Linked DNA regions of Astyanax mexicanus. The protein of the gene in region 4 interacts with the protein of the main gene of each other region in a pairwise test. Links are inferred from orthologs where the notes say so. Each region holds a gene or a part of one and is shown on either strand. Other genes may lie near its edges. The genes, in order: spred1, kifc3, efemp2a and creb5b.

Evidence for each region.
Region 1: the proteins of creb5b (region 4) and spred1 interact in binary tests that used the Homo sapiens proteins (3 or more experiments, as listed by UniProt). The link is inferred for Astyanax mexicanus from reciprocal best matches to the Homo sapiens genes CREB5 and SPRED1.
Region 2: the proteins of creb5b (region 4) and kifc3 interact in binary tests that used the Homo sapiens proteins (3 or more experiments, as listed by UniProt). The two-hybrid records come from large-scale screens. The link is inferred for Astyanax mexicanus from reciprocal best matches to the Homo sapiens genes CREB5 and KIFC3.
Region 3: the proteins of creb5b (region 4) and efemp2a interact in binary tests that used the Homo sapiens proteins (3 or more experiments, as listed by UniProt). The two-hybrid records come from large-scale screens. The link is inferred for Astyanax mexicanus from reciprocal best matches to the Homo sapiens genes CREB5 and EFEMP2.

What each region holds. Positions count from the first base shown.
Region 1 is NC_064421.1:14,570,683-14,578,191, forward strand, and holds the start of spred1 (sprouty-related, EVH1 domain-containing protein 1), read right to left. Parts: upstream 3,003-7,509; 5' UTR 2,161-3,002; coding exon 2,129-2,160; intron 1-2,128. UniProt on the Homo sapiens protein: Tyrosine kinase substrate that inhibits growth-factor-mediated activation of MAP kinase. Negatively regulates hematopoiesis of bone marrow.
Region 2 is NC_064416.1:4,392,335-4,399,527, forward strand, and holds the start of kifc3 (kinesin-like protein KIFC3), read left to right. Parts: upstream 1-4,176; 5' UTR 4,177-4,565; coding exon 4,566-4,859; intron 4,860-7,193. UniProt on the Homo sapiens protein: Minus-end microtubule-dependent motor protein. Involved in apically targeted transport. Required for zonula adherens maintenance.
Region 3 is NC_064417.1:45,816,991-45,824,013, forward strand, and holds the start of efemp2a (EGF-containing fibulin-like extracellular matrix protein 2a), read right to left. Parts: upstream 3,011-7,023; 5' UTR 2,732-3,010; intron 1-2,731. Other genes in the region: fibpa (fibroblast growth factor (acidic) intracellular binding protein a), read right to left, coding at 6,511-6,580, 6,959-7,023. UniProt on the Homo sapiens protein: Plays a crucial role in elastic fiber formation in tissue, and in the formation of ultrastructural connections between elastic laminae and smooth muscle cells in the aorta, therefore participates in terminal differentiation and maturation of smooth muscle cell (SMC) and in the mechanical properties and wall integrity maintenance of the aorta.
Region 4 is NC_064413.1:42,689,734-42,697,152, reverse strand, and holds the start of creb5b (cyclic AMP-responsive element-binding protein 5), read right to left. Parts: upstream 3,027-7,419; 5' UTR 2,954-3,026; intron 1-2,953. UniProt on the Homo sapiens protein: Binds to the cAMP response element and activates transcription.

The DNA.
Region 1 (7,509 bases), on a different chromosome or scaffold from region 4:
TTCTGGAACAATGCGAAATCAACACTGCGTCACAGGTGAGGCGACACGCTGTTAGAAATGGAAAACACACAAACAGACATGTATATAATCCTTTGTTTCTGGGCGGCTCAAATATCACCCACACTGTTAAGCGGGGATGTTTATTGTTTAACTGAAAGAGGAGGGAAAATTTGCTAAAGGATGGTGTCGTCTTGCTTCTTGGGCATGTGCTGTCTCTTCTTTCTTCTCCACCCTCCTCCGCCTCACCACACCAGCAGCATTTGCTGATCCTAAGCATTGCGCAAAAGGACTGTCAACAAGACTGTCTATACCATGAATGAGCATTGTGATGAATAATTAAAATAAAAATAAATAAATAAATAGCTGTGGAATGTGTAGATATCTGTGCTATATTATTGGAGATTTCCCTTCAGTGTAAAAAAGGGACAAATGAAACGTGAATGAATGGCATCATTTGTGGAAGCACATGACTAGTTCAAGGACACAGAGTTCCTAGCTACATGACATGAATGGATCTGATACAGGAGAGACATGGCAAGAGAACATGGGCGTATTAGATACTGACAGAGAGAGAGCCTGGGAAACCGTGAATGTGAATGTGCACGTCGTCGTTTACTGCTGCTGACAAAAATGGCCTAAAATAAGATGTACAGATATAGCTAAGAGTCAAACAGATGAATATTTGTCGTTGCTGGGTCTGTGATCTGCTGTGTGACCCCTGTGCTCAGTGTGGAGACACACTGTACAGTGCAGCTCAGTGTGAATGAGAAGCCAGGTACTTTATGAATGGAGGCGGTCACGTGGCCGAAGCTTTTCTCAGTGACTGTCAACAAGCGCACGCAAGCGATCAGCCCATTTAAAAAAAACACGGGCACGGAGGGCGAGAAAAGCACCAAAATCCGCACGAAAACAGCCTTACTCGCACTGTTAATCGAATATATTCCTTTATACTCTCAATTGGGCCTAATCTGAGCGACAAACACTGCCATTTTGGCGTTTTTATGAATGAGGATTGTGATATGCAAATGAGAGTGATTGAGAAAAATATGGCGTCCGCACAGTTTCTTTCAGCCTGACATTGCGGTAATAAAACCCGCAAACGAAACCAAATGCCACGTATTACATGTTCTTTAATACTTAAAAAAATCATATAACTGTTAAATCGAAATAAGGCTCTCAGCTCTCGCTCCAGAGATCGTGGATATGTTTTTATAAGGCGAAACCGCGTTTCATTGTGGGCAAAAAACACAAAACCGTGGAGTAGAAAAGACGTGTCTATTAACTAACTAGCTCAGTTTGGGAGCTTTATTCGTTTGAAACGGGTGTATTTTGTAACGCTTGTATCAGATACAACGTTAATAAACTTGTTACTTACGCTAGCCATCCACTTAAATCTAATTTACAACGTAGCGATAGTTATTTCTACGAATGCTTCGAGAGAACTACAGAAATTTTACTGTTAGCTGGTTAAATCGTGTATTTTACTAACTAGCTATCGAATAATGTAAATAAACTACTGTTAAATAATATAGCTAGTTAGCTATCCTAACTAGAAACGACCCAGCATACTCGCTAAATAGATAGCCTAGATGGTCAACTAACGCTAGGTTAGACAGCGTTAAATATCTGAATGGGCCTTTTTAATAAGGCAAATTTAATTCAGAAAACCATAGATAGATAGCTAAAAAGAAAACAAAAACACATTGTTAGCTAGAGGTATTTAGCTAGATAGCTAACTAGATAATATACACACACAAGTTTAAACAGCTAACTAACTAGTTAGGTTAGCTAGTTAGCTAGCTACGTTAGCTTAGCTATTAACCCAACTATACATTCAATAACCATGACAACAACTAAATCCAAGCTAACGCTAACTAGCCAAATAAAACTGGCTCAGAAACAAACAAAAAAAAATAACATTACGGCTCTGCTGGAAATATATTTTAAGTTAGCAAGCTAACTAACTTAACTACTAAAACCTTCGCTTTACAAACAAACCCGTGTAAGTTAGTTATTTTCTGATCTCTGTCATGCATTAAGACCACAAGAAACACACACAGAAACACACAGACATCCTCGGGGTCCAGCAGCTCAGAGGAACTGTGAACTGAGAGATATTGGTACTCACTCGTTGTTTGGATTTGCCGATTCTTCGCTCATTTTTTTCTCACGGGGATCCAAATCCTGGAAACAGCATCGACGACGCAGTCAAGGCTGGGAAACGATCCGCAAATATCACCATTTTCTTTTCGTTCGCATTAAAAGAAAGTGCCAGTTTTTTTTTGTTTTATTATTAATCACAAAGCAACTGTGTAGCGCTGGGGCGCTGCATGCTTCCAGTTTTCTCCCACAAGGCGAGTTCAGAATAAGAACGGCGACCGCAGCCACTGATCTCTATCTTCCCAATGAGTAAAATCCATTTGGAAACGAGTGGCTGTCCTCTTCATCCTCGATCTGCGAACACAGGCAAATCCCAGACAGAATTGCAGTCCTGATCTTCAGATTGCAAGCAAAACAAAGCGAGAAATAGATAGGTAGCTACTAGCTAAATCTGCCACGGTCCGTGAGCCGGCTAGCTGGAGATCGAGCTACGCTACGTTATACTATATAACTCCCCTCTCTCTCTTTCTCTCTCTCCCCACGGCAACTTGAAGTTTCAGCCAACACTAGAAAACACAAAACAGCGCTGCTCCTGTTTATAACTCTCTAGCTGGCTCGAGCGCAGGCACTCAAAAACAACGAACGAAACGATAAATATCTGTCCTTAATTGAGTATCCAACGAATTCGCGTTAAAGAAATAGCGAGATTAACAGAGTCTCCTCCTCGGGAAGTTCAGAAGATCTGTGCTGCTACACGAACTCCATTTTCAACTCAGGCAATGCACACCTCGGAAAACTGGGCGGAAGCGTTTGGCCTGACTTCTCCGCTGAAATCCTTCCGCGACGAAACCCGAATAAAACACCATTAACAAAACAGCAAACTCATTTTTAGACCGAATCAACTAGCGTGATTTGTTGTTTAACGAACACAAACGTTGAATATTTCCCACATGCCCCCACCCTCATAATAGCTTGATTCAGGGACGGGAAGTGAGGATTTCATATAGTCCCCATACCAGTTCCCAAAAGAAGTTTGGCCATGCAGGCAGCAGAGGAGCCCAAGCTGAAAGCGAGGAGAAGGAGAGCGAGAGAAGCTACACACGCTGGTGATGGACTCTCTGCTTTACATTATGCTTACAAGCAAGTAAGCAAACAAACAAACAAAAAGGAAGACATAAAGACAAATGCCGCCACTTTCATTTAGCGTGATATTTAGTTTTAGTTACATTTGTTTAAATACTTAAAAAGTATCCCAACTGGCTCTACATCGAATACATACAGCAAGCACCGTTTATGTGTAGAAGACATTCTTATGGTGTTAATATACACCAGAAACTACAGTCTATGTGATTGTGCTATATATATATATATATATATGTGTGTGTGTGTGTGTGTGTTTGAGTAAAATGAACATTTTTGACTTATTCCGTAAACTATGGACAACATTTCTCCCAGATTACAAATAAAAATATTGTCATTTAGAGCATTTATTTGCAGAAAATGAGAAATGGCTAAAATTGCAAAAAAAAAAAAAGATACAGAGCTTTCAGACCTAAAAAAATTGCAAAGAAAAAAATTCATATTTTTAAAGTTTTAAGAGTTCAGAAATCAATATTTGGTGGAATAATCCTGGTTTTTGATTACAGTTTTCACGCATCTTGACCACCAGTCTTACACACTGCTTTTTGATAACTTTATGCCACTACTGGTGCAAAAATTCAAGCAGTTCATCTTGGTTTGTTGGCTTGTGATCATCCATCTTTCTCTTGATTATATTCCAGAGGTTTTTAATTTGGTAAAATCAAAGAATCTCATCGTTTTAAGTGGTCTATTTTTTTTCAAGTTAGTTAGCTAACCTAGTTCAGTGCACTAGCTTTATAGAGACAAGAGCCATTGACTGTGATTTATGGCTTCTCTCAAAGTTCACACTTTTTGTTGTGTGAGCTCATCTGCAAGTGTGTGTTTTCCAAGTGTGCTGCTCAGTTTCTCAAAACTACAGGCCACATAAACACAGAGCTTTCTGAATTACACTGAATTAAAGCAGTGCTGGGCTAAGCTGAACTTATGCTGCCTTCAAGTCATGTCCGAAATATCTTATTTACGAGATGAGTGCACATAAATGCCACCACACACTTGTAATTACCAATGGGAAACTTGGATTTCTTGATGAGCCCTGACTTTCCAAGTTTTTGGGCGTGTCAATAAAAAAAGCTGATTGCTGTGTTTTTCATTGATTGTGTATTATTTACTAACACTGTAATCTATTTTAATGGTTTACTCTCGTTCACATGTGAAAAAAAAACGAATAATTAATTACATGCTACTGACACTTTTTTCCCATGCTGTTTCCAAACAAAACTTTTGATAAAATCTGAAATGTCACACTAAATATTTGACACTGAAAAACAACACAAACTGCAAGTAATTATTTTGTTTAATCATAATATACAGTACCAAACAAAAGTTTGGAAACACCTTCTTATCCAATATTTTTATTTTTATTTTATTTTTTTCCTACATAAAATTAATTCAGTAAATTCATACTGAAGTCATCCAAACTAAGTAGGAACACATAAGGAATCATGTCCTGATGAGAGCCAGTTTCATCATAATGTTTGATGGTATTTATGATTGCACTTAAGGATACTTTCAAAGTAAAAAAAAAATTGAAGTTGAGTAGTTAGCTCTTGCCATAATATGGATTAGAACATTACTCAAATAGGGGTAATTTAGTATGCCAACTCTACCTCTTCACAACATAACTGATGGTGTCAAACATATTTAATAGGGCAAGAAATTATTGTAGTTGGCTTTTGACAAGTTAACTGAAAGTCACTCCAGATGACTACCTCATGAAGTTGACTGACAATGAGAAGATGTGCAAAGCTGTCATCAAAAAAAATCTAAAACATTATTAAAAAATCCATGTTTTTCTTAATATTTTGAATGAGTATTAATCTACAATGCAGAAAATTTTAATTAAAATAATGAAAGAAACACTGAATTTAAGGTGTGTCCAAACTTTTGACTGGTATTGTATTCTTTGAAAGAAACACCGATATACCATCAGTTGTTCCATGACAGTTAAAAGTTCTCAAAAGAAGCAACGAGCATTAATCAGTGAAACAAAAGTGAGCTAGTTTCATTATGTAGTTGTATGTAAAGCTGCATATGAGTGAGATTGGACCCTTATTCTGTTTTATATATGTTAAAAAAATTATGCCATAACTTTTTTACACGCACCAGTAAAATGTAGAGTCCACTGTAAAATAAAGACAGTATTTATTTGATTAGGTTATAGGATTATCTGGATTAGGCCTAAGTGCCCTCTGCTGATAATCCTCTAAAGGGTAATAGAACAGGTTTAAACACTGTAGTTAAAAAACAAATTCATATGAGCTAAAACTGGCTGTGTGTCCAGATTTTCAAATGTACATGCCACACTAAAGGCAGACTTTTCTAACACTGAATTTAAGCAGAACTGAAATAAGCTTACATACCATAGGTACATATGTTATTTTTGGAAATATTGAGGAAGAGTGTCCACAAAAGGATAAGATAAATTAATATGATATAGAACAGTTCGGAAACCAAACACATATGGGCTACAGGAAATTCGACTGTTGGAAATCACATCTATCCTGTCCTCTAAAAGTCGGCAAGTAGTGCTGTGTACTGTCAAGAACGTGGCGATATGACATGATACACCGTTTATAATTCAGTATGTCAGTATCATAGACTGTATATAAAGATGGACGTCGTGTCGCGGTTCCCATTCATTCAATGAAAATGAAGCCAAAATCTTCCGCCATTTTGGCGATTCAGAGACCAGAGTCTGCGCAGTAGAGACCAAAGGAGGGAGAAAGGCTGTGGAGAGACCGCCTACTCATTTGAATAACCCCGCCCCTGAGGGCTGCCTCGCGGTCACAGACTGCAGAGCGGGGCGGAGCGGAGCTGACGGTCTGTTATTGGTCCCGCCCATAAGCAGCCCTTTTACCATAACCACACCTTTTTTGAATAGAGCCGAATAAAGTTTTAAAAACCGAATTCTGTGGGGATATAAAAATTTGACAATATAAGCAGAGGTTACATTAGCTGTTGCATTTAAATAATGGAGGTAGAATTACAGTATATTAGAAAAAAACGTGATTGAAAGTTGTCTGTTTTGCCATTGAAACCTATGGGGATGGGTGGAGTTACACAGCTTTCTGCAGCCGAACAGCAGGGGGCGCCCGACCTGTGGTGGCTTCACTTTTAAGAGACGATGCTCTGTCCAGCTATACACAGTCTATGGTCAGTATATAAACAGTAGGCAATATAGGCAATATATTGCAATTGTTTAAATCAAAATGTTGGAAAACCACTGTTTCTTTTTTACATACAGTATTAATTGAAAATACAGTATACAAACATTTAAAACAAAATATATCCATATTTTTGTTACACCCTAACAGGCAGCCACAAATAATATGATTTCTTTGGTTGTATTTGTGTCTTGGAGAAGCTTGAGATACGACTTAGCTTTGTTGTCATATATGAGAATTTTCTTCGTGTTTCTTTGGATTAGATAGAGCAAAGTTAAAGTTGCAACATTTGTATATGGAAGGCCAAACCAATTGATTCTCAAAGACCTACACCAACAACAGAGTCTATTGACATTTTGTCATTGATCCTAGTCTGGGTCATTAATACTAGTCCTCAAATCTGTGTAGTCCAAGACTGTGCTTTATCTCTGTCCTAAAAGCTGACCCCAAAATGTGATACTAGCACAGAGGTCAGATAAAGGTTTCAGCTTATTTACTTTGTTACTTAAAGAAGAACATTTCAATATGTATTTCTATTAGAGCTTAAGTGTGTAAACAGCAACTACCTGAAAATATCGAGCATCTATTTTCAGAATACAGTTTCCCATCATGAGCTACAAATCTCAAATAAAGTAGGCCTTGTCTCCCCTTAACAGAAAGACAATGAGCATCTTTGAAATTTCTAAACAGCATGCTTCTATCCTTTTGAGTATTTAGAGTTCAGGAAGTCAGGCTGCTTTCTCATCTCACAAATATGGATGTTCATGCATTTCCTGTGTTGATCACACAGCAAAATATACCAAACAGAAGGTCAACAGGATGTTTAGCTCGAAGGAGTCTCCCAGATATCCAGCAGAGGTGCTGCTGTTGGGAGAATTTTGGTTCTTAAATGCTAGACCATTATGGTCTTTAGGTTTTTGTACATCCTATACTGTCTACTTTCATAGCATTAAAACTGGAGCACCTTTTGGGATTAAATTTTGCCTTTGCTATGTGCTTTATTAATGAATACACATTAAATTATATAGCATTATTTATCTTTGGTAACATGACAAAGGGGAAAGTGTATTCTGCCCCACTAGCTTAGGCATTAAATATCTGACCA
Region 2 (7,193 bases), on a different chromosome or scaffold from region 4:
GAAATCATTTGCTTCCATGAGCTATTTGGATGCCCCTCATTAAGGAAACAAACATGGAACCTCCCCACCAGTTGTAGAAATGCGATTTCTGTCTTTTTGGTTGATTTATCTCTAAAAGTACGCAGCAGGATTAGGCAGCAGACTTTGTTTGAGGGAGGGATCTGTACCTGTTCTTCGGGCAAGCGTTATTCTAGTAAAAAAAAAAAAAAACTAAGTTGTTTGCTTTGCTTATTATACTTTTATACTGCTGCAAACATCACAGTTAAGTTTAGGGCCTGGCAATTATATATATATATTTTTTTTAAGAAATGTGACCATATTTTCATACAAGATACAAGATGAGACAATTTTTTGTTTATATCAATATAGATTATGATGCGTTCCAATTAGCTGTGTCAGTTTTCCTTTCTTTTCTCCCAGTTTGTTGATACCAATACATAGCAGATCTTATCATTCCATCTCTAAAATATGAAAGTGCATGTCACCCAGCCCTAATTGTAATTATAATGTGACATTTGAATATCATTTAAGCTCTTATGTTGGAAATATTGTCACTAAATACAGTCATATTGTAGAGTTTAGACATGTGTATTACTTTAACTTTGTCAGTTTAGATATTGACCCACAGTTAATATCATATATTGTGATATTTGAGTATCGCTGCAGCTCTAATATTATAGATATAGTAGTAAATATTGAATACAGTCTTGTCGTACTTGTCCTCAACATCAGAGTGACAGATGGACGGAATAGAAAGAGGGAGGGTAGGGGAAAGGATGAATGATGGAGGGAGGGGGGCTATTCTCTCCTCTTTTTTTTCTCCCTCTCAGTGGGAAGGCATAGGACTTTGCTCCACTGTTCAGGAACAGGCAGGCAAACTATAAGAGAGAGTTTTGGTGGTGGTTCTTTCTTCCTGTCTGGTATTACCATCGACAAAATCGATCGACCCAACCACCTGTTTCTTCAGTCTGGAGAATCTTCATCATTGAATAAAAATGGAATATCGTTTTGATGCAGATGATGGAGCCGTGTGATTGTCCTGTATTCTGCAGAACAGCCAGAGGATTATATCTGCCGGGTCACGTAACACCCGTAACACCCTGTGACGCTCTGAATGGGAGTGAACCCTAGGAGGAATATTGAACTTCAATCAGTAACAGTTTAACAGTTATGGGTTTTCCTGAGAAGTGGTGATACGCTGTATCAGGGGTGTGCCTGTGTGTGTCCAGGTAGGTCAAAGGTGACCAGCTGGAGCGATAAAACAGCTTAAGGTGTGTTTAAATACCTTACACACCTTCTCCAATCGAGGGCGACAGATGAGGACTGCTTGCCTGTTTAGTTATCAGAGCGCTGGAGGATTAGCTAATGCGTAAACCAGCATTAGGGACCTGGTCCGTTCTGCTTGTCCAGCTGATACACTCTTCCTGACAGCTCACGGTCAGGACAACGAGGGCAACGAGGGATCTGTGGAGGATCTGCAAAGGATCTGTGGAGGATATACGAAGTCTGGACAACAGCTTTACATCGCTGAAGGATGGTATACTCACTTTAAGTGATGCTCTAAAGAAAAGAAATCAAGGACTGAAGAATATTAGGGCTGTCCTTTTTCCGATTTCTTTTTTCCTAAACCGTGTTTTAACTTTTTTATAAGACACTTCCACTGTTGGACATTTTTTCCTAGTAGACATTTGTTTTTGAAGGCTGTTTAAGGTTATCGAAAGACTCTCCAGACCTTTCAATTTTTGGTTTTCATTTTTTAAAACTGTCCTTTGGTGTTTTCCAAAACAGTGTTTTAGTGGAAACTTTTCATTCATCTCTATGTATTGCTCTACATCTAAAATCGTCTTCACAAAATAGACTGCAAAATTTACCTTTGTTGTTATTGTGTATCTCTGTTCTTTGCTTTTATTTTTTTTGCCTTCATTTAGCGCTTACTAACGACTGAACATCTAATTTTTTTTGGGGGGGGAAGCAGACTGAACAGTCTATTAAATATATATTTTTTGTATCTTACCCCATATTTCTTAGCAATAGCTTCTTGCTTAACAGTATAGATTCTAGATCTTTTAAATATATATTTAATTTTAACAGTCCAGCTTTTTTGAAAATACATTATGATTATGATTAACAAGAAAAATTTACCTTTGTTGTTATTGTGTATTTCTGTTCTTTGCTTTTATTTTTTTTGTCTTCATTTAGCACTTACTAACGACTGAACATCTATTTTTGTTTTTTGTTTTTTTCTGGAGTAGCAAACAGAAAATTCTGTTTAACATATATTTCGGTATCTTACCCCACTTTCTTTTTTGTCAGCTATCTGCTTTACAGTATAGGCTGTAGATCCTGTGAGTATACTGAAGAATTTAACAGTCCAGCTTTTTGAAAATACATTATAATGATTAACAAGCAAAATTTACCTTTGTTGTTGTTGTGTGTTTCTGTTCTTTGCTTTTATTTTTTTTGCCTTCATTTAGCGCTTACTAACGACTGAACATCTAATTTTTGTTTTTCTTGGGGAAAGCAGACAGAACAGTCTATTAAACATATATTTTTAGTATCTTACCCCATATTTCTTAGCAATAGCTTCTTGCTTAACAGTATAGATTCTAGATCTTTTGAATATATTTCATTTTAACAGTCCAGCTTTTTGAAAATACATTATGATTATGATTAACAAGCAAAATTTACCTTTGTTGTTGTTGTGTGTTTCTGTTCTTTGCTTTTATTTTTTTTGCCTTCATTTAGCGCTTACTAACGACTGAACATCTAATTTTTGTTTTTCTTGGGGGAAGCAGACAGAACAGTCTATTAAACATATATTTTTAGTATCTTACCCCATATTTCTTAGCAATAGCTTCTTGCTTAACAGTATAGATTCTAGATCTTTTGAATATATTTCATTTTAACAGTCCAGCTTTTTGAAAATACATTATGATTATGATTAACAAGCAAAATTTACCTTTGTTGTTATTGTGTATCTCTGTTCTTTGCTTTTATTTTTTTTGCCTTCATTTAGCGCTTACTAACGACTGAACATCTATTTTTGTTTTTTGTTTTTTTCTGGAGTAGCAAACAGAAAATTCTGTTTAACATATATTTCGGTATCTTACCCCACTTTCTTTTTTATCAACTATCTGCTTTACAGTATAGGCTGTAGATCCTGTGAGTATACTGAAGAATTTAACAGTCCAGCTTTTTGAAAATACATTATAATGATTAACAAGCAAAATTTACCTTTGTTGATTTTGTGTATCTCTGTTCTTTGCTTTTATTTTTTTTGCCTTCATTTAGCGCTTACTAACGACTGAACATCTAATTTAGTTTTTCTGGAAAAGCAGACACAAAAGTCTATTGAACAAATATCTCAGTATCTTACCCCACTTTCTTTTTAATAGCTACCTGCTTTACAGTGTAGGCTATAGATCCTGTGAATATCCTGAAGAATTCATAAACAAGCCTTGAAAAAAAAGGAATAGGCAAAATTTACCCATGTTGTTTTTGTGTATCTCTGTTCTTTGCTTATATTTTTATTGTCTGTCTTTAGCGCTTACTAACGACTAAACGAAGCAGATAGAACTGTCTATTAAACAAACATTTCGGAATCTTACCCCACTTTCTTATTAATATAAATAGCTACCTGCTTTACAGTATAGGCTATAGATCCTGTGAATATACTAAAGAATTTAACAAGTCAAGCATTTTGAAAATACTTTATAATAATGACGGGAAAAAGTTACCCATGTTGTTTTTGTGTTTCTTTGTTCTTAGCTTATATTTTTGTCAACTATTTTTATATTTTTTTCTTGGGGGATGCAGACAGAATGGTCCATTGAACTTTTTTTTTAGTATCTTGCCCCATATTTTTTAGCAATAGCTTCTTGCTTAACAGTTTAGATTGTAGCTCTTTTGAATATACTTCCAGATGTGAATTTAACAATTTTTCAAAAATGTAGGAGAAAGTTGAACATTTTCTGGGGATTCTCCCCATTTTTAGTATAGGTTTTAAATATTGTTAAATATACTGAAGAACTGTATCTTTTTTTTTCTTTGCTTGGTTTTCTTTTAAAAGAGCTCTACAGTCTTCATCTACAGTTTTCAGTCTGAATATCTTATAATGGAAAAGTAAACATTGTATTTTATTGGTTTAGATGCTTAAGATTTAAGCGAAGTTTTCTGAATAACTTTCTGCACTTTTTTTCTACTATTTCTTTGCTTTTTATTTTAATTGCTTTGCAAAATGGACTTTTTTGGACATCCAAACTTTTGTTTTTATCATTTTTCCTGAAGAACATTTGAAAGCCAATCAACAACCATCATTGGACAGAACTGTCTGAAGTGTAAATATCCACTTTCAGTCTTTGATGGACATTTAAGGGCTCTGTTCTCCGCCGAGCTCTGGGCGTTTGGGTTTCAGCAGGTTTGTGTTTCAGTAAAGGATCTGTTCTGGCTGAGCGTAACAGTCACCGGAGGATAGTGTTCTTATCCTCCAGATGTAACGTCCTTCAGGGAAATTTCCCTGCGGAGCAACGGATGAACCGAACGTCCTGGTACTAGCCGCCGAGACCATGTACGTCCTGTGCACGCTCATCCTGCTGTCCATCCACAGCCTGTTCAAACGACCCACAGCGCTGGAGGCCCGCGAGAATCCAGCTCGGGCTGAGGCTCTGGAGGACAGACAGAAGCCCAGGAAGGAGGCACTTCAGCTGGGCCGAAAGAAGCGGGCCAGACCCCCTCTGCCTGGAAGTTCTAGAGCTCCACACAGTGAATGTAGAAACAGAACCGCTGGAGCCCACGGGCAGAGGAAACCAAGCAGCAGAGCACACCTGCAGAACACAGGTGACCCCTGCGAGAGAGTCCAGGTGAGCGATAAGGAAGTTCTGACCTGATATTAGCCTCAATATTTAATATTAAAAACAAGGAAGTGCTTTTTGGAAAGTATGGCAAGAATGGTTCTTGTAGCACTTGTGGTGCTCATATCGAAGGCGTATTTTTAAGGATTAAAAAGAGATTGAAAATGTTTGGCCAGAAATAAAAAAAAATGTTTTTTATGTTTAAGTAAAAAGACAAAATAAATTATTTTATTTCATTTTTTTATCATATATTTTTTTTTATTTATTCTAAATTATTTGAATTTGAAGTAACATCGCAATGTTTCCTCAGCCCATGGCACTGTATTCCTTTTTTTTTTATTCTGTACTTGCATATTCGCTGTTTTCCCAGATTAGGAAGTTTCGAGCTGTACAGGGCTAGGATAGCAACATTAGCTGAGCTAACTTAGCCTTAGCATTGGTTAGTTTACCAATGACTTACTGCATTATTTGTGTATAGTGATTCTGTGTAAAGCTCTGCTGAGATATATTTATGATTTAAAATAGCACCAATACTGAGCTATGTTTATAAAAAACACTGCTGAGGAACACGTTTAGAGTAGCACTGTTGAGCTATATCTATGATTGGAATAGCATTGCTGAGGTAAAAGTATGATTGGATTGGCAATGCTGAGGTAAATGTATGATTTGCAATGGCATCTCTGAGGTGAATGTATGATTGGAACTGCACTGCTAAGGTAAATGTATGATTGGAATGGCACTGTTGAGGTACATGAATGATTGGAATAGCACTGCTGAGAGAGATCTATGATTGAAATAGCACTGCTAAGGTAATGTATGATTGGAATGGCTCTACTGAGTGTTGTGTTGGTATGATTGCGACTGTGTTCAAGTAGTCTTGTAGTTGTTTGAAAATGCAAGACAAAAAACATATTTAAAACTGTGGTTTATTAATTTATGAGTGTTGTTTTATCGGTTCTGCTGAGTCTTTAAGGGTGAGGTCTTATTCAAGGCTCAGTCTGGGTGTGTGAGCGGTCCGTCATGGCCCGGTGGAGGGAGAGTTGGTGTGTCAGCAGTTCTGCAGTAATCAGCTGTGGAGGAGTTTGACCTGCTAAAGTGGTGTAAATGAGTGACTCAGGGATATCGGTTTGGGCGGGGTTGGTGGGTGGAGGTAGTTGTGTGTTCGCAGGAATATTATCACTGTGTAACTGTTCTCTGGAATTTCTTTAACTCTTTCTCTCTCTGATGATTTTATTCCTGGTATGAAGCGTAAATCTGATTAAAATCTCTATTTAGCTTTCTTTGATCTGACCTTGACCTGGGTCCAGGGTTTTTAAAGGCGATGCTGGTGAGAAGCTGCTCGTGTAATATTATTATATTCCTGGTATAAAGGGTAAATCTGATGTTTTGGCAGTGAACAGTGTTCAGTGCTGACTGAATGGATCAGTTATGTAAGCAGGACGCAGTTTATCTAAACGCTGCCATCTCTTTACTAATCCAACTTTAATTCAAACTCTCTCTCTGGCCGCTGACCCAATCTGTAAAACATCACATCAAATCAGTTACCCTGCTTTTATCTCTTTACCCACTAATTAGTCTTCATATCTAAATTGTCTAAATATGTTACTTTTAGATCATTGTAGATGTGGCTAGACCTATCACAATAATCTATTGTTGTTTTGGATAATGTGCTGTGCAAGCTGATACTGCAATAAACAATATTATTGTCACTATTAAGTTAGAATAGGCCTATGGGCTATACAAAACATGAAGTTAATAAAGTGCTTTGCACAAAATCAGTCTCACATAAAGATAGATATCTCACCAGTTATAATCTTGCCAGTTTCAGTCAGTTTTAGAATGAGCCATTAAAGGGCTGTGTCACTTTTATGCAAATAACTTGTTGCTGGCGATGCCACATGTTGATGCTGAGCATTTATCACACGTTCGTGTTAGCTTGTGCTAAATGGCAAAACACGATAACTGCGATAAATGCTGCGATAACAGAAAACTCAATATTTGAAAGTAGTTACATCTCACTTACACCCTCATCTGCTGACTTGAGACAGATAGTAGGTACAGATCCCTCCCTCAGACAAAGTCTGCTGGCTAATCCTGCTGTGTACTGTCAGGCCGAAATGCGCTTCTTCAACTGATTTAGTGGGTTCGGTTTTGCGGCGTCAGACGTGGACCAAACAAGTCCTAACTGTAAGGTGTGTTTAAAACCGATTGCTTCTAAAGTAGGCAGCACGACCTATTTTTTTCAACACCTTAAACAGAAGCGGAGTGGGAGAAGTGCTGCTATTATCAGAATGAACGCAGCCACAGCACTAGCACACCATCCAAAGTAAAACATGTCCCTAA
Region 3 (7,023 bases), on a different chromosome or scaffold from region 4:
TAAGTCTCAAATATCAGATTTTGAGACTTGATACTGAAAAAAAAACATCTTGATTTTGACTTGGTATTCATGACTTATACTTGGCTTGGGCTTGAGATATATCACCTAAAATTATGTTTTTTATATATTTTTCTGTATATATTTGTATTTTTATCTTGTTACCTGCTTGACTTGTTACGTGCAATGGTTTTACTTGTCTTGATTGACTCATAGCTGGAAATCAGTTTCAGTCAACTGAAACTTGAAGGTCAAGTTTGATGATTAAGACTTGAGAAGTGATTAAGACTTGAAGGTTATGATTTGAGACTTGATTAAGACTTAAAGGGTAAGATTTGAGATTTGATTGACTTATAGCTGGTAATCAGCTTGCTTAATTATCACCATAGTAACCTGAAACTTGAGGGTCAAGTTTAAAGATTATGACTTGAGAAGTGATTGAGACATAAAAATTAGGATTTGAGACTTAAATGAGACTTGAAGGTCAAGACTTGAGGCTCAAATAAGACTTGAAGGTTAAGATTTGAGACTTGATTAAGACTTAAATGGTAAGATTTGAGATTTGACTGAGATTGACTTGATAATTAAGGCTTGAGACCTGATTGAGACATAAAGGTTATGATTTTAGATTTGCTTGAGACTCAAATGGTAAGACTGAGATTGGGATTGAGATTTACTTAAGCCTTATTCACACCTCTGTCTAAGGCTACAGTCACACATTTGGTAAAATTAGACCAAATATGATCTTTTTTGTCACTTACATGTTTTTTTACATAGCAATGTGAATGACAAAAAACACAAAACCTTTTTCCACCTTTTGAATTTAAAGTTTAACCACTTCTTTGTGGATTTTATGAAATTGAAATCCAATACATATATACAATAAGCATCAATGCGACTCAGCCTAAACAGCCAGAATGAAATTCATGCAACAGGAACCCTGGAACTTTGAGAGCTACTTTGATGCTGGAGAAGATGAAACAAAAACCTTATGGAAGCTTTGTTTTCTGTGCGTAGGCGCCAGTTTAACAGTTTGGACTGAACATCTGATGTAGTTCACATTTAAAATATAGTGGGAAAGGACTAAGAAAAAAACATTTTGGCTACTTTACCTGCTATGTGGACATCTCCAATAGGGCACAAATGTAGGGTAAGGTATGAACTTTCAAAGGCCTGACCCCTTAAACTCTAGAACACAGTGTTTCACACCAAACCATTCTGAAAGGCTTAATGTACATCTACAAATATGTGTTCTTCTAACCAGTTCAAACCAGACATCACCTACTTTTTCGAATTCATTTTTACTGTTTTTCTACCAAGATAAACAGTTTTAAAGAAATTGCTGAGGTGTTTTTGCACAGGTCTGTAGGCGCGACTGCCCGGCATGCTTCTTTGCCGTTGAATGAATGCTGGAGTCAGCCCTGAGCCATATAAAATAATGCAGCCAAAAGTCAGTAATTGCAAAAATATACAAACAAACGTGATGAAGCGTTGCGTGAACATTCGGTGAAGAAGTGGCCTGTGCTTGTACAGTAGGCCACTGTTCTGAGTCGTGACACCATGCTGGGGGGGTTTAATTGTACGTGTTTTTTTTCTCTCCTTGTTATGGCACCTGTGTTTTTTTTTTCAGCGGGGCCAAAACGTGTTTTTCTTGAGCTGTTAACTGTTAGCGCTGCTAAGCAGTAGACATGTCATGATAACTGTTTTTTTTTTTGTTTTTTTGTATTGGATGATATATTCTATATTCTCTCAGAAATAATGATGCTATTATGCTATTACACCCTTGTGAGAGACAATGAACATTTGATTAATAATAGTTTGAGAGGTGAATACTTCAGTCATGTTACTGATGCATGGTTCAATGCCTGACTGAATAAAATATTAGTGACATTTATTTGTATGTTAACATCCATGATGGACAATGGATATTAATTGATAAGTATGATAGGTCCATAACATAATTATAGTGACAGGCCTACTAAAGTGACCAAAGAGTCACTTTAAAAAGCCTCATTTGTTGAATAAAACTGGACAAATCAGCCTAAAACTATAGATAGACAATCCTGAAAGTACAGCCACTCACACAGTTCCAGCCTTTTCCAAGCTCCTTTTTTTATAGTAAAAGTTGCCCAGAGCTGCTGCTCTAGTGGGGGTCTAAGAGAGGAGGTGAGTGACATTAGTGCTGGTTGTGAAAGAAAGCTGGAAGCGAGGTTGGAAAGTTTTGCAATAGTATAGTGTGTACATGAAGCGTGATGCGTAACAGTAACAGCATCCTGACGGTTGGGTAAGAGACACTGGAGGACTAAAGCCACGAGCGTCTGGCCCGTCTCAGCGGGGCTGACTGTAAGAGATAGGATTGCGTGACGGCTGCACAGTGAGGGTATTCTGGGTCATTCCAGCACTTTTGTGGCCGGAGTGAAGTAGCACCAGGGCGCTGAGGCTGTGAATGGTTGGAGTGGAGCTGTGGAGCATGGGTGACGTACTGAGAGCCTTCAAGGAAAAAATTTACTTTTCTGTTGTTTTTTTTCTTCTGTTTCTACTGTATCTTACTATCTTTCCTCTTTATGCAGTATCTTACTCATCTATTCTTTTCTTTTTCTCCTTTCATGAGGTACTGAATGTCTTATTCTCACCTTCTATATTGAGATGATAATATTTTAGTACTTTTTTTTTTTTTACTTTTATTGTAATCCCTTGTTTAGTGAATGTGAAATCTGAAGCATGTTGTACTCACAGGTCACTTCTCCTCCTGTTGTGGCCTTGGATTCTTGTGGATTCTCTCTGTCTGTCTCTCCTCTTTTCTTCTCTTCTCTTCCGGTGAAGGTTTCTCTCCCTTCTCTTCCTCTTTTTCTCTCTGTCTCTCTCTTCTTTAGCTGCCTCTTCCTTCTCTTCTTGTTCTTCTCCTTCTTCCTTGTTCTACCTCTTCAGCTTGACTGAGTGGAGTGTGGAGACGGACAGCTGGAGTGTATGAATGTATCCCGAGGAGGGCGAGACGGAAGAGAGGGACAGCCCATTCCGACCCCCCCTCTAGGCCCCCTGCGCCGCCGTCCTCCGCCCCCCAGACACCCCTCTGACCACCCCCCACCCCTCTCCTCTCCTCCTCTCCTCACCCCCCAGGATGAAAATTCCTGGTCTGCGGCCCAAATTCCAAAATTCCAAATCTGTCCGGTTTGCCGGCAGAACAACAGTGCACAGATTCACACAGTCACAGTTACACACACACACTTACACACACACACACACATTCGACCGCCCCCCCTGAACCCTTCCTCACAAACCACCACCACCAGCAGACCCTACACATTTACACACACACGCACACTTAAACACTCAAACACATACATACAGAGCAAATACACACAAATAGTTCCAACGCACCTGGTTTCATTTAAACTGGCCCCCCACAGCTCGCAACTTTCTCTCCATTTTTCTCTCCATGTTTCCCTCCCACCTCAATTCACCCTTCATCTCACCCATCTTTTTTCCTCCCTCACTCCACAGCCAGATATTTATATCCTTGGGAGAGAAGCTGGTGGAATGCGGAAAGAAATTAGCAAGAAGAGTAAGGAACGTGAGAGAAAAAGGGAGAGAGAGAGAAAAAGAGAGAGAAAATCAAGAGAGAGAGAGAGAGAGAGCGAGAGAGAGAGAGAGAGAGAGAGAGAGAGGGTGAGTGTGCTAAAAAGGGAGGAAAAGACACACGTCTACTTGGAAAAGTCATCCACCTCTTTTTTTCCCTCCTCCTGTCCAAATATTTAAACTGGAGGTCCTCGCTGGATGATATAAAGACAGAAATGTTTAGATGTGAGGCGCTGTAAAGAGTGACACTGATTACACCTTTATTTCATTAACTCCACAGCCATAGCCATATAGTGCACTCGCTCTATCCCAACTCTCTCACAGCTCTCACAGCTCTCACACTGAATCAATTTCCTCCTACAGAGCTGCATGCAGCACAGGAACAATCCAGGGTTTTGTTCTGCACGTTATTCACTGTCTAAATACAGGCCCGGCTGTCCATTTCTGCAGAGTCACTGCTTCACGAGATGTGGGGGAACAGTAATAATTACAGTTCAGAAGTGACCCAAAGACATAGTTAATGCTCAACGAGATGTGAACCCTTAAAAAAAAAACAGTGTAACATTCCAGGAGGTGCTTTCTCTCGACTCTCAGCTTTAAACTCCAGTGCAGGAGTTGAGAGAGCATTCATTCGTTTAATAGGCCGTGTCGGAGGTCCGTTACAGGTCTGTCATTTTCAGAACACCCACAGACTCTATCTATGTACCTCCCACAACATGGTGACAAATTGAAGCCCCCTAGGTGGCCACACACAGACATCACATTGGGACTCCTGACACCCACACTTATTGGTTCAACTGTTCAACAAATGACCAGCGAGCCATATGGTTTAAGCATAAGTACCTATCCAGATACAGATCCCAATTACACCTGGTCCCTTCATGTGACTAGTAGGCCTGTGTATTGGTGAGAACTTTGCAATATGATATGTATAGCATTAAAGGGCTTACGATTAAACGATACAGAACGTTAGTGTTATAGCTGTTTATAGCTGCATTCATTTTATTCTTTAATTTTGCAGCAAATCAGTTTACATTTATTTTGTGTTTCGAATTTGAATTATGTTGAATTTGAAATGTTTGTGAGATACTGAATTACGTTTTTGTAGCATTGCACCTGTGATCACATCATGAGGTTAAAAAGTATATGAAGTAGGGTAGTTTGGTGGAGGTGGCTGGAAACAGGAGCTTAGTAAGACACTTTTTGACCACGCTCTTACTCAATTTCATCAATTTTATTAAATGCAGTGGTATTGGATCAAGGACTAAATCAGTTAACATTTAATTCTTAATTGTGACTTTAAAATGCAACAAAGTTAAAGGATACGTTCACATTAGCAGGCTGAAGTAACTCAAATCAAATTTTTTGCTCAATGTGGCTCAGATCTGATTTTTTCATGGCTGTGCCCAATCTGTTTTTTTTTTTGTTTTTTATCAGACTTGCATCACTTTCATATGTGGTCCTAAACTGGATATGTATCCAATCCATGGACATGCGACATAAATATGAACGGTCAAATCAGAATTCATGCGTCTTTTTTCTTTCATGCATGCGCTACAGGCTTCTGTCTCACATTTTCGACCTGAGCATGAACCTCAGACCAGCTGTTTTCTGTCCACTCCAGTAAAAGATGCTCCACATATGAGCTGCTAACGACACATCCATTTCCCTTTATAAAGCTATGAGTCGTCTCGTAAATATGGCGTTTTTTGTTGGTGGTAAAGAAGACAAAGTTTATGCAGGTATCAATGTGCGCATGTGAGGCGTTTCAGGAACAGATTCGTTCACATTACACACAGATACAGATCACTTTTATGAATGGTAACCGGCAAGATAGCCAAATCCTATCTGAGCAAAAAAAAAAAGTGAATTTGAACAATGTGGCTTGCAATGTGAACGTGGTCAAACAATGTGCATTAACCAAGCCAGGCCTCAGTTTTTATATCAGAGAAGAAATGGACAGAAGAAAGAGAGTCCATTTGCTCTAAGTGAAAATAGTACATTCTCAATGGCCTGGCTATCTGCACAAACCCACCGATATAAACTCCCGTTTCTATATTCAACATTTGGTTCCAGAATTTTACAAGGCTGTCACAATGGATCTGCAATGAGCATGCGGGCCAGTGTTTAGCCTCACTCACAAGATAACTCCTTACAACATACACAGTTAATGAATTCTCAGTGCAGTGCTATCCCATGACTTTTGGCATAGCAGTTTATTATCTCTCAATGTTAAAATGAAGATAACATATTTATGTTTCTATATGCATGTGTATATTTTTGTGTAAATATAATAATAATAAAAATAATAATAATAATAACAATAATAATAATAAGAAGAAGAAGAAATATAATATGAAGAATAATATATATATATTTCTTTAGTGGTAGGTCACGTTTACACTGTGAAAACTGTGAATTTTCCCATTAAGGGACTAATAAAGAATGATCTCATCTCATCAGTCATACAATCAGCATGCAACCGGTTCCAGTGCTGAACTGGCTGCATGTGAACTAAATTCTAAAATAAAACAAAAAAAGTTTAAATCAGATCCATTGTGATCATTTATAGCAATTATATAGCAATGATTAAATCATTTACAGTGAGGTCAAGGAGGACACAGCAGAGATTATGTGTAGAAAGCATGCTCTGTTTATTTACAAGCCATCCCATGATTGGCAGTAGCCGAGGGGTGAAAGAATGAGCTGAGGATAAAGGGGAATGGGGGGAGGGAGGGGAATGGGGGAGGGAGGGGGGGGATGGCCAGCTGTTGGAGGGAGACATTTGGGTGAGGATTAAAGGAGGAAAATGATAAACGGGGGATTTAAATAAAGATAGGGCCAAAAGGTGAGCTGAAAGGCTGGGCTGGATCCAGTGCAGTTTAAGATTAAGGGAGAAGAGAAAAGAGGACAGGAAGAATGGAAAAATACTATTCTTCACTCGTGATACATTCTGAGGATGCAGCTTTTGATAACTCCCATATACCTGGTCCAGACAGTCTGGTGCCTGAGAATAGAAGAGCGAGACAGATGGAAATAATGTAAGAGAGACGTTATGCTATTATAAATAGAAGAGCATTTCATTTAATGCTGTGTAACTGAAACTATGCATGTATTGTATTACGAGATGTTTTCACTTCTTTTCTGAGGTCTGAGCTGAATGCATCACTGCTTAATGTATCAGAACATTTAATGATATAAACAGAAATTCAGATTCCAGAGGGGTTTCAGTGTGACTACACAGGAAACTACAGGCAACTGACTGGAAAGTGCATGACACACAGAGACAGTGACCCCCACTGGCAGAACAACAGATTTCCACAGAACTCAAAACGTTATATTGTCTTTGTAAATAACAAAGAAATTATAATACACACACACTTACTTGAAAGTGTCGAGGATGTGCGCAGAGTTCGTGTAGTGGGTAAGATAGAGGTTAACATCCGTAGA
Region 4 (7,419 bases):
CAGCTGTAAATAAAAAATCTGATATGCACAGATATTATAAACATAGTAGTAGTTGCCAGTAGCACACGGTTAATTTGCTAGTGTTAAATTAATACTGTTCGTGTTAGATTAACACTGTGGTTCTTACAATTTAACACCCGCAGTGTGAAATGAACATAAACGCTGTTAATTTAACACCCTTTAAAAGCTAAGGTCCTTCACTTTGAACTCATGAAGTTTCTAAGCGACATATAGCTACTGAACATCCTGACAGCATCACTACAGGGCAGTGTGTTAATGTGCGTTCATTTATCTGACCTTATTTAGTTAGCTACAAAATGTAGGTGTGCCTGGTTAGTATTTGAGATAAAAGTAGCTCTCTTTTTTTAAAGTGTACTTTTTATTGTTACTGATCTGTTCTAAACATTTAACAATACAAATGTTTTAAATGAATGTTAGTTTTATGTTTCGTATAACTAGTTCTGATATGCTTGCTAGAACAAAATGTTAAAATAAAAAGTTATGAAAATGCTGTTAAGTGTAATTTGTGCAACATCAAGGTTTTAAGCTTAAAATATTAACAGTCATGTTATGTGGCCACCATAAGAAAAAACATGAATGAGCTGCTCACTGAATTTATCTGATTTAATTTTGAATTTGGCATCAATATTCAGAAATGGGTCTGGGCTCTTATTGGTTAATTATGATAAGAGCTGAAATCAACAATAATAGTGTTAATACCATTAATTAGTCACTTGATTTGTTGCTCGTGCTAGTGAGTCTAGACGTCATTAGTGAGTGGGACTGTAGATTATAAACAGTGTTTCAGCCTGTGGGCTTTTGAAACCCCCCGGTGTGCTGGCTCAGCACTAAAGACCCTCAATCCTTCAGTATCTCAGCGCTTAATCAAACACACGGGCTGGCCTGCAGCATGACGTCATGCTCTGTTGCAGAGCGCGTGTTTTTACTGAAAAAAAAACAAAGAAATTTACAAACGCGATAAGATAACTATACTGTAGAGCGAGCGAGATTCAAAGCGACGCAGATCTAAACGCAGTGGGACAGACAGGAAGACATGCATGCATGCAGACAAACAGACAGACAGACAGTGGGTTGCTAGACTGCTGGCTGTCAGCTCGCGCTGTGTCTGCCCCTCCTGCGGGACAGAGCAGCAAAACCCGGGGGGTCTTTCATATCAAAGGCGGCACGAGCACACAGTGAAGGCAAGGAAGCATGTGCACGCGCGGCGCGGATCAATGAATGGGTACAGGTCCCAGAGAACCCGCGCGCACCAGTTGCATGTGCCTGCACGGAACACCACAATATGCAGCAGCAGCGGCAGAAGCGTGCATGCAGCTGCTGTCACCACGCGCGCGCAGGAAAAGAGCAAGAGCGCGAGCCCGGCCGACCGGGACAGACACAAACAAACAAGCACGCGAGTGAGCGTGCTCATATTGGTGCAACATGGGCTAGGTGGCTTTCATGTGGGCATGGGCTAGAAATAAGTTTGTAGCAGCACGTGTTTTGGGCTACTTTGTTCCCAAATGGGCCATATCACACAGTCCGACCACCTTAGTGTCATATGGGTCTCATCCACGCTCCATGTGCATGCAACCCAATGTACAACCCAGATTAAGCCCACGTTTAACCAACCCCTACAGGTCCCATCACTGACATCCACATCCAATGTTCATGAGCCAGTATGAAAAAAAAAAGCCTACGAACAAAACTTGCCGGGTCCATTAAGCTACCCATACAGACCACCACATATGCATGTTAACTATCTGGGCACCGGTTCTCTGACGAGGGCAGCAGCAAGAACTTCAGTGACATAAACTTCAAAACAACAAAGCAAAGTTTAGCCAGCTGGCACATGACCGACCTTCAAAGTTGAAATAGTTAAAATAATGTCAGCTGTATCAACTTGTTATTAGTGGAATGTTTTTGTCGTATCAATATGATCATTATTATGTTTTTAACATCTTATTGTTATATTTTGACTGTATGACTTAATAGAAAGAAAATATCTACATTCAAGAGTTTTAAAAAATAGAGAACATGTTTAAAATAATTTCTATGAAAAGGTTAATAAGTGACATAAATCAATGTTGAAATTTTAACTTGGAACATCACTCAACGTGATGTATGTATCTTGTAAATATGATCATTATTATGACTGTATCACCACTTTATTACATTTTGATCACAAGATAAAATATTTAAACTCCAACTAGAAAGTAAATAAAGTGTGTGAACAAACTTGTCAACGTTTTTTTTTACTTGTTCTGCTTCCATCTGAGGAACCTTTTCATCAACATGCACAGTTTTTCATGGTGTTCATTGTTCTGTACATACAGAACTACTGTTTTTAGTAAACCTTCTATCGAACCACCATACTTTTGGAAAGAATAGGGAAAGTTTTTTTTGGCTAGAGTTTAGTTAATGTTTAAAAAAAAAGATAAGATGTCAAAACAATGTTTCAGCACCAACACTGATTTATGTTTCAGAATCAAAACGGTGATATGAACTTAATATGACGCTGACGTTTATTCAACGTTGATAAACGCAGAAATGCCGGTTGGAGATCACGGCACGAGCTCCTGCTGTTTCTGCTGTTGCTCCTCATGCAAACAAACACGCGCGAGCGAACACAAACCTGTTACTTGCAGCTAAACTTCACAAAGGAACGTTTTCAAACGTTCAAAAAACTCGGAGCACCAAACGACAACGTCAGGGAAAAAAACATCCCCGGGACGCATCAAAGCACAAAAGCAACTTGTCACCCGCGCTCGAGCTCCAGAGCACGGACGGCCATCATCACCGCCAACGGCACGAGCTCAAGTTCACGCAGCCCGCGAGCGTGCGTTTGTTTTTTCTCTTCTTTTCTTTCCCCTCTTTCTTTCTCTCTTTCTCTCTGTTTCTCCTGCAGCAGAAAAGTCTACACACAGTTCACAGCAGCAGCCTGGAGACTTACCACAGCAGCGCGGAGAAGATGCAGCGCCTTTCTGAAGGAACCACGCTGGACTGAGGAGAGATTACAATACGAGCTATTTACAGAAGCATTACATCACCCTCCGGTGACGTCACGTGGGATTCCTGAACTTCTAAATCATTGCGGTCCGCGAGGAGGGGCTTCGTGGAAACGGGGCGGGGGTTGAGGGATGTGGGCGGGGTCGAGGAGGAGCCGCAACACTCACAGCTCACAGCTGGCTGAGTTCAGGCTGGAGATAGTAGGATACTTCTTGCAGGACATTGAGTTTTAAAGTACTTTAAAGTGAAAAATAGACGACTCATATCACTTACGGATCAAACAATTAATTAAATGATAAAAAATAAAGAAAGAATAATAATTATAATAAAATGTCTTAATGCAAATACTGCAAACATTTTTACATTAAAAAAAACATTAAAGTTTGTATTATTGTCATTAGGACCTGTACTGTCTGTAATGGGTGTTAGCACTTTTTACTCAAGTTTAACTGGACTCCAAAATGCTCCAAGTGTCACCTTCTCGTCTGGTTTTGCGTCTCTCTGGTTTATTTACCCTCCTCTGCACATGCCCTGTCTTTATTCTGTGTCTCCGCCCCTGTTGCTCACATGTTCATTTTTCGTTTTTTAGCTCTGCCCCCTTGTTACCCGGTCCCAGGTGTTTTTTATTTGTATTTTTTGTCCATTTGCATTTATAGTCTCCCTTGTCCCAGTGTTATTTGTCTTTGGTTGTACATCTAATGTCATTCAGGTTTCGTGGTCCTATGTTATCTATGTGATCAGTGTTTCCTTTAGTTTCTGTTTTTTTATTTCTTTATTCCTTTGATTTTAATAAATACTTGCATGTCTCATTCCTGCTCCCAACCGTGACACCAAATTATCAAGTGATTTAAACCAGAGCAAAATAATATAATCATAGCATAAAAAGTGAGAAAATTTGTGTTTGGTAGATTATTTCATTGGAAAGCATGTTAATTTCATGCATGTTAGTCTCTACTTGGGATGCAAACTTTTCTGTCTGTCCCTGAAACCCCTTATTATATGGAACCTGGCCTTCAGTTTGAAAATGCTACCAGGGATCACTTCAAATAATGCTGCAACTTGTTTTTGCGGAACACCAGTTTGAAGTTGAAGCCCTATTGCACTGGTCCTATCCACATCTGTCAAACGTAGCAAGCTGATTCTTGGAGCAGATACCTACTGACCACTATAGCAGTGCCCAGGCTCACTGGTGCTGCCAATAAGGTGCCAATCAGGCTGTACCAGAAGCTCAAAATAAGTGTCAAAAGCAACAGCAATATAAGCTGTTTGGCAATGGCAGAGAAGATTTGGCAAATTTTTCTTAATCTCAAACCCACATACTCAGCTCTGCTGTTCATCTCACAAATGCATGTTTCTTACAAATGTGGCAGCATTTAAATTTATAATTAACAGTATTTTCAATGATATGGAAGAAGCATAAGAAGCATTGTTACAACAAAGAAATAATCTAACAAACACAAATTTCCTTAATTTTGTGCTATGTTTTATTATAAACTTATGTACAGTACAAGTCAAAAGTTTCCACACCTTCTTATTCAATGTTTTTTTTCCTACATTGTAAATTAATATTAAACTCATCCATACTATGAAGGAACACATAATGAACCATGTAGCAAACTTAATGTGTTAAACAAAACCAAATACTCTGTGAAGCTTTTATGTGGCCTCCTCAAGTAGTTATTTAAATTACCTAAAGAGTTAATATAATTAACCCTTGACAAAGCACAGCTGTTACCTGAAAGCCATTCCAGGTGACAACCTCATAAACCTGACTGAGAAAATATCAAGATGTGCAAAGTTGTCATCTAAGCAAGAGATGCCTATTATTAACTGGTTAGTACCGGCACATTTTGAGCACTAATCAAAAAAAAAATTGAAAGACATAGCAAATTAATACAATAGTCATACACCTCCAACTGCATTCCTGTTAAAGCACATATTTCTGTCACTGGAACTCTAAACCATGTAGTAATGAGATAAGTATTTAATAAAATATATAAGTATATAATACATTTGATTTACAATATTATAATAGATAATTATATTCCAGTACTGTCTTAGTCTGATTACAGATGAATAAATGGATTTTATTGCTGTACCTTTCTAGGGGAGGGATATATTAGGTAGTTGTGTTAGAAGCAGGGCAATCATAAGGATCATCATAATGATCTGAGCCACTGTGCATTTATTGTGATGGCTACAAAACTTGGTTAGAGCATCTCCAAAACACCAGGCAGGTCTTGTGGGCTGATCCCTGTATGCAGTGTTCACACTACCCAAAAAAAGTGACAAACACATACTAAGTAGTGGTTTTAATATTATGGCTAACTGGTTTGTTTGTGTAGTTAACTACTGTAGTTGTTATAATGTCCTATCAATTTAATGGGCTGGGAACAAATTCACCAAAAAGCCAGTTCTTTGATTCCAGGCATTTGGGAATCGACATTCAACTCTAGAGCTTTAAACACGATTCCACCAAGAGAGCTGTACTCACACACAGAGCCGTTTTCACTGCCACTGTCTAGACAGCCTGTCTGAAAACGCGTCCTTCCACAACACACATATCAATAAATTGGCTATATTTAACCTTGGGCAGAGCATAAAAGTACAACAGTGGCTAACAATATAATGTCACAAGTGCTGAAACGTTTACTCTTCTAAAGGAACTGACAGAAGTATTAGACGCAGTCTAGCCACAATGGTCTGCAAATATTTGGACTCCCCATGGTCAAAATTCGAGTTACTGGAAATAATTCAGTGACATAAAGGTGAGCTGATCTCCAAATAGCATAAAGATTGCGAAGAAATATTCTTCTTGACATTTTTAATAAGATTTGTTCATTACTTTTATTATAAGAAAGGAGCACCATGTGGGTTAACTTGTTAAGAGTGGTGGTTTATACACAATAACTGTTGGAAATATGACAATGATGGAAATATGATGATGGAAATATGTACACAAAACTAGAAAAGGATTATAAATATATAAAAACACCAAAAAGTACAAGTATGGAAGAGCAAGAAAACTTTCAAAGAGAACTACATAACTGACATGAACTGTGATTCTTTCCTATGTCTTGATTTTTTTAATTGAAAAACTTTTTTGGGATTGACTGTCAGAACAAAAAGTAGATGCTGCGAGATTTATAAATTCTAACCCATGTGTTGCCATGCACAACTTTTAGTCCTTCTATTGATGATCAAGTTCTGACCACAAGAACAAGAGAAAAAAAAATAGGGTTTAGGTCATTTAGGATCATTGCTCTACTTGTAGAAAACATCATCTTTTTATCTGTAAGGAGGACCACTGTTATAGTGTGTTATGCAGCAATAGTACTAGAATTACTTTAAATGATGCTGTCTCCAGTTTATCTGACACACACACACACACACACACACACACACACACACACACACACACACTGGTACACTCTTGCACTTGGGGCATTTTTGGTTTCATCCCCTGGTCAGCAGGCCAGCGTGACTAATTGTGCCAGGCTCACCAGTGTCTCAGTTCATACTAAATAATGGAAGTGCCAGTGGGTAAATAAATTATTGGCAGGATTATGTCTGCCCGCAAGTGTTGGATTTAGAAGATGGTGTTACAGAATCAAAGCTGTGACTTCTTTGCCCTGAGATAATTTCCAAGCAGACGTAATATGATGCAGGTAACATCGTAACACAGTCGTACCACACGGTACCTTATTTATGAAAAGGAAGTGCTTTATCATACCTTTAAAAACATGTGTTCTCTGTTTAAAGGTAAGAATACCCAATAATAATGTTTATTAATCACTATACACTGCACTATACATACAGTGTACACATCTACGTTATTAGACAAATTATGACAGTTACACTTTTAAAATAATTAATAAACATTTAATCACAGAACTATACCACATCTAATTTACCTGTTGTATATGTTAAATATATTATGTGCTGAGCTGAAGATGTATGAAGATAATCTGTGCTAATTAAAATACAATATATAACAATAAATAAATATGAATAGAGCACGCACCTGAAGCTGACAGTAGAACCAATGTTAATAAATAAAATAATGATACATTTCTTACCTTATTCATATTACACAAAGGTCTAAATACCCATAGTGTAGAGAGGTAAAGTAATATGGCAAGTTTTGATACTGATCTTCAAGGTCACCGCAATAGTGATACTGCTGTAACTTGATAATGTAAAAAACAGTCTGTAGCTCTTTTTAACTGGCACAGGTTTGCTTTGCACAAGGTTAAAGAAAGGATATCACTGTTACCGTGGAATAAAAAAGGCAAAATCTTCACCCTTCACCATTCAACAGTGGATTCAGGGTCCTGCTTAAATGCATTGAGAACGTTAACTATGAACAGTTCTAATAAAATTGCACATTTACAGTTTTTATCTTACTTT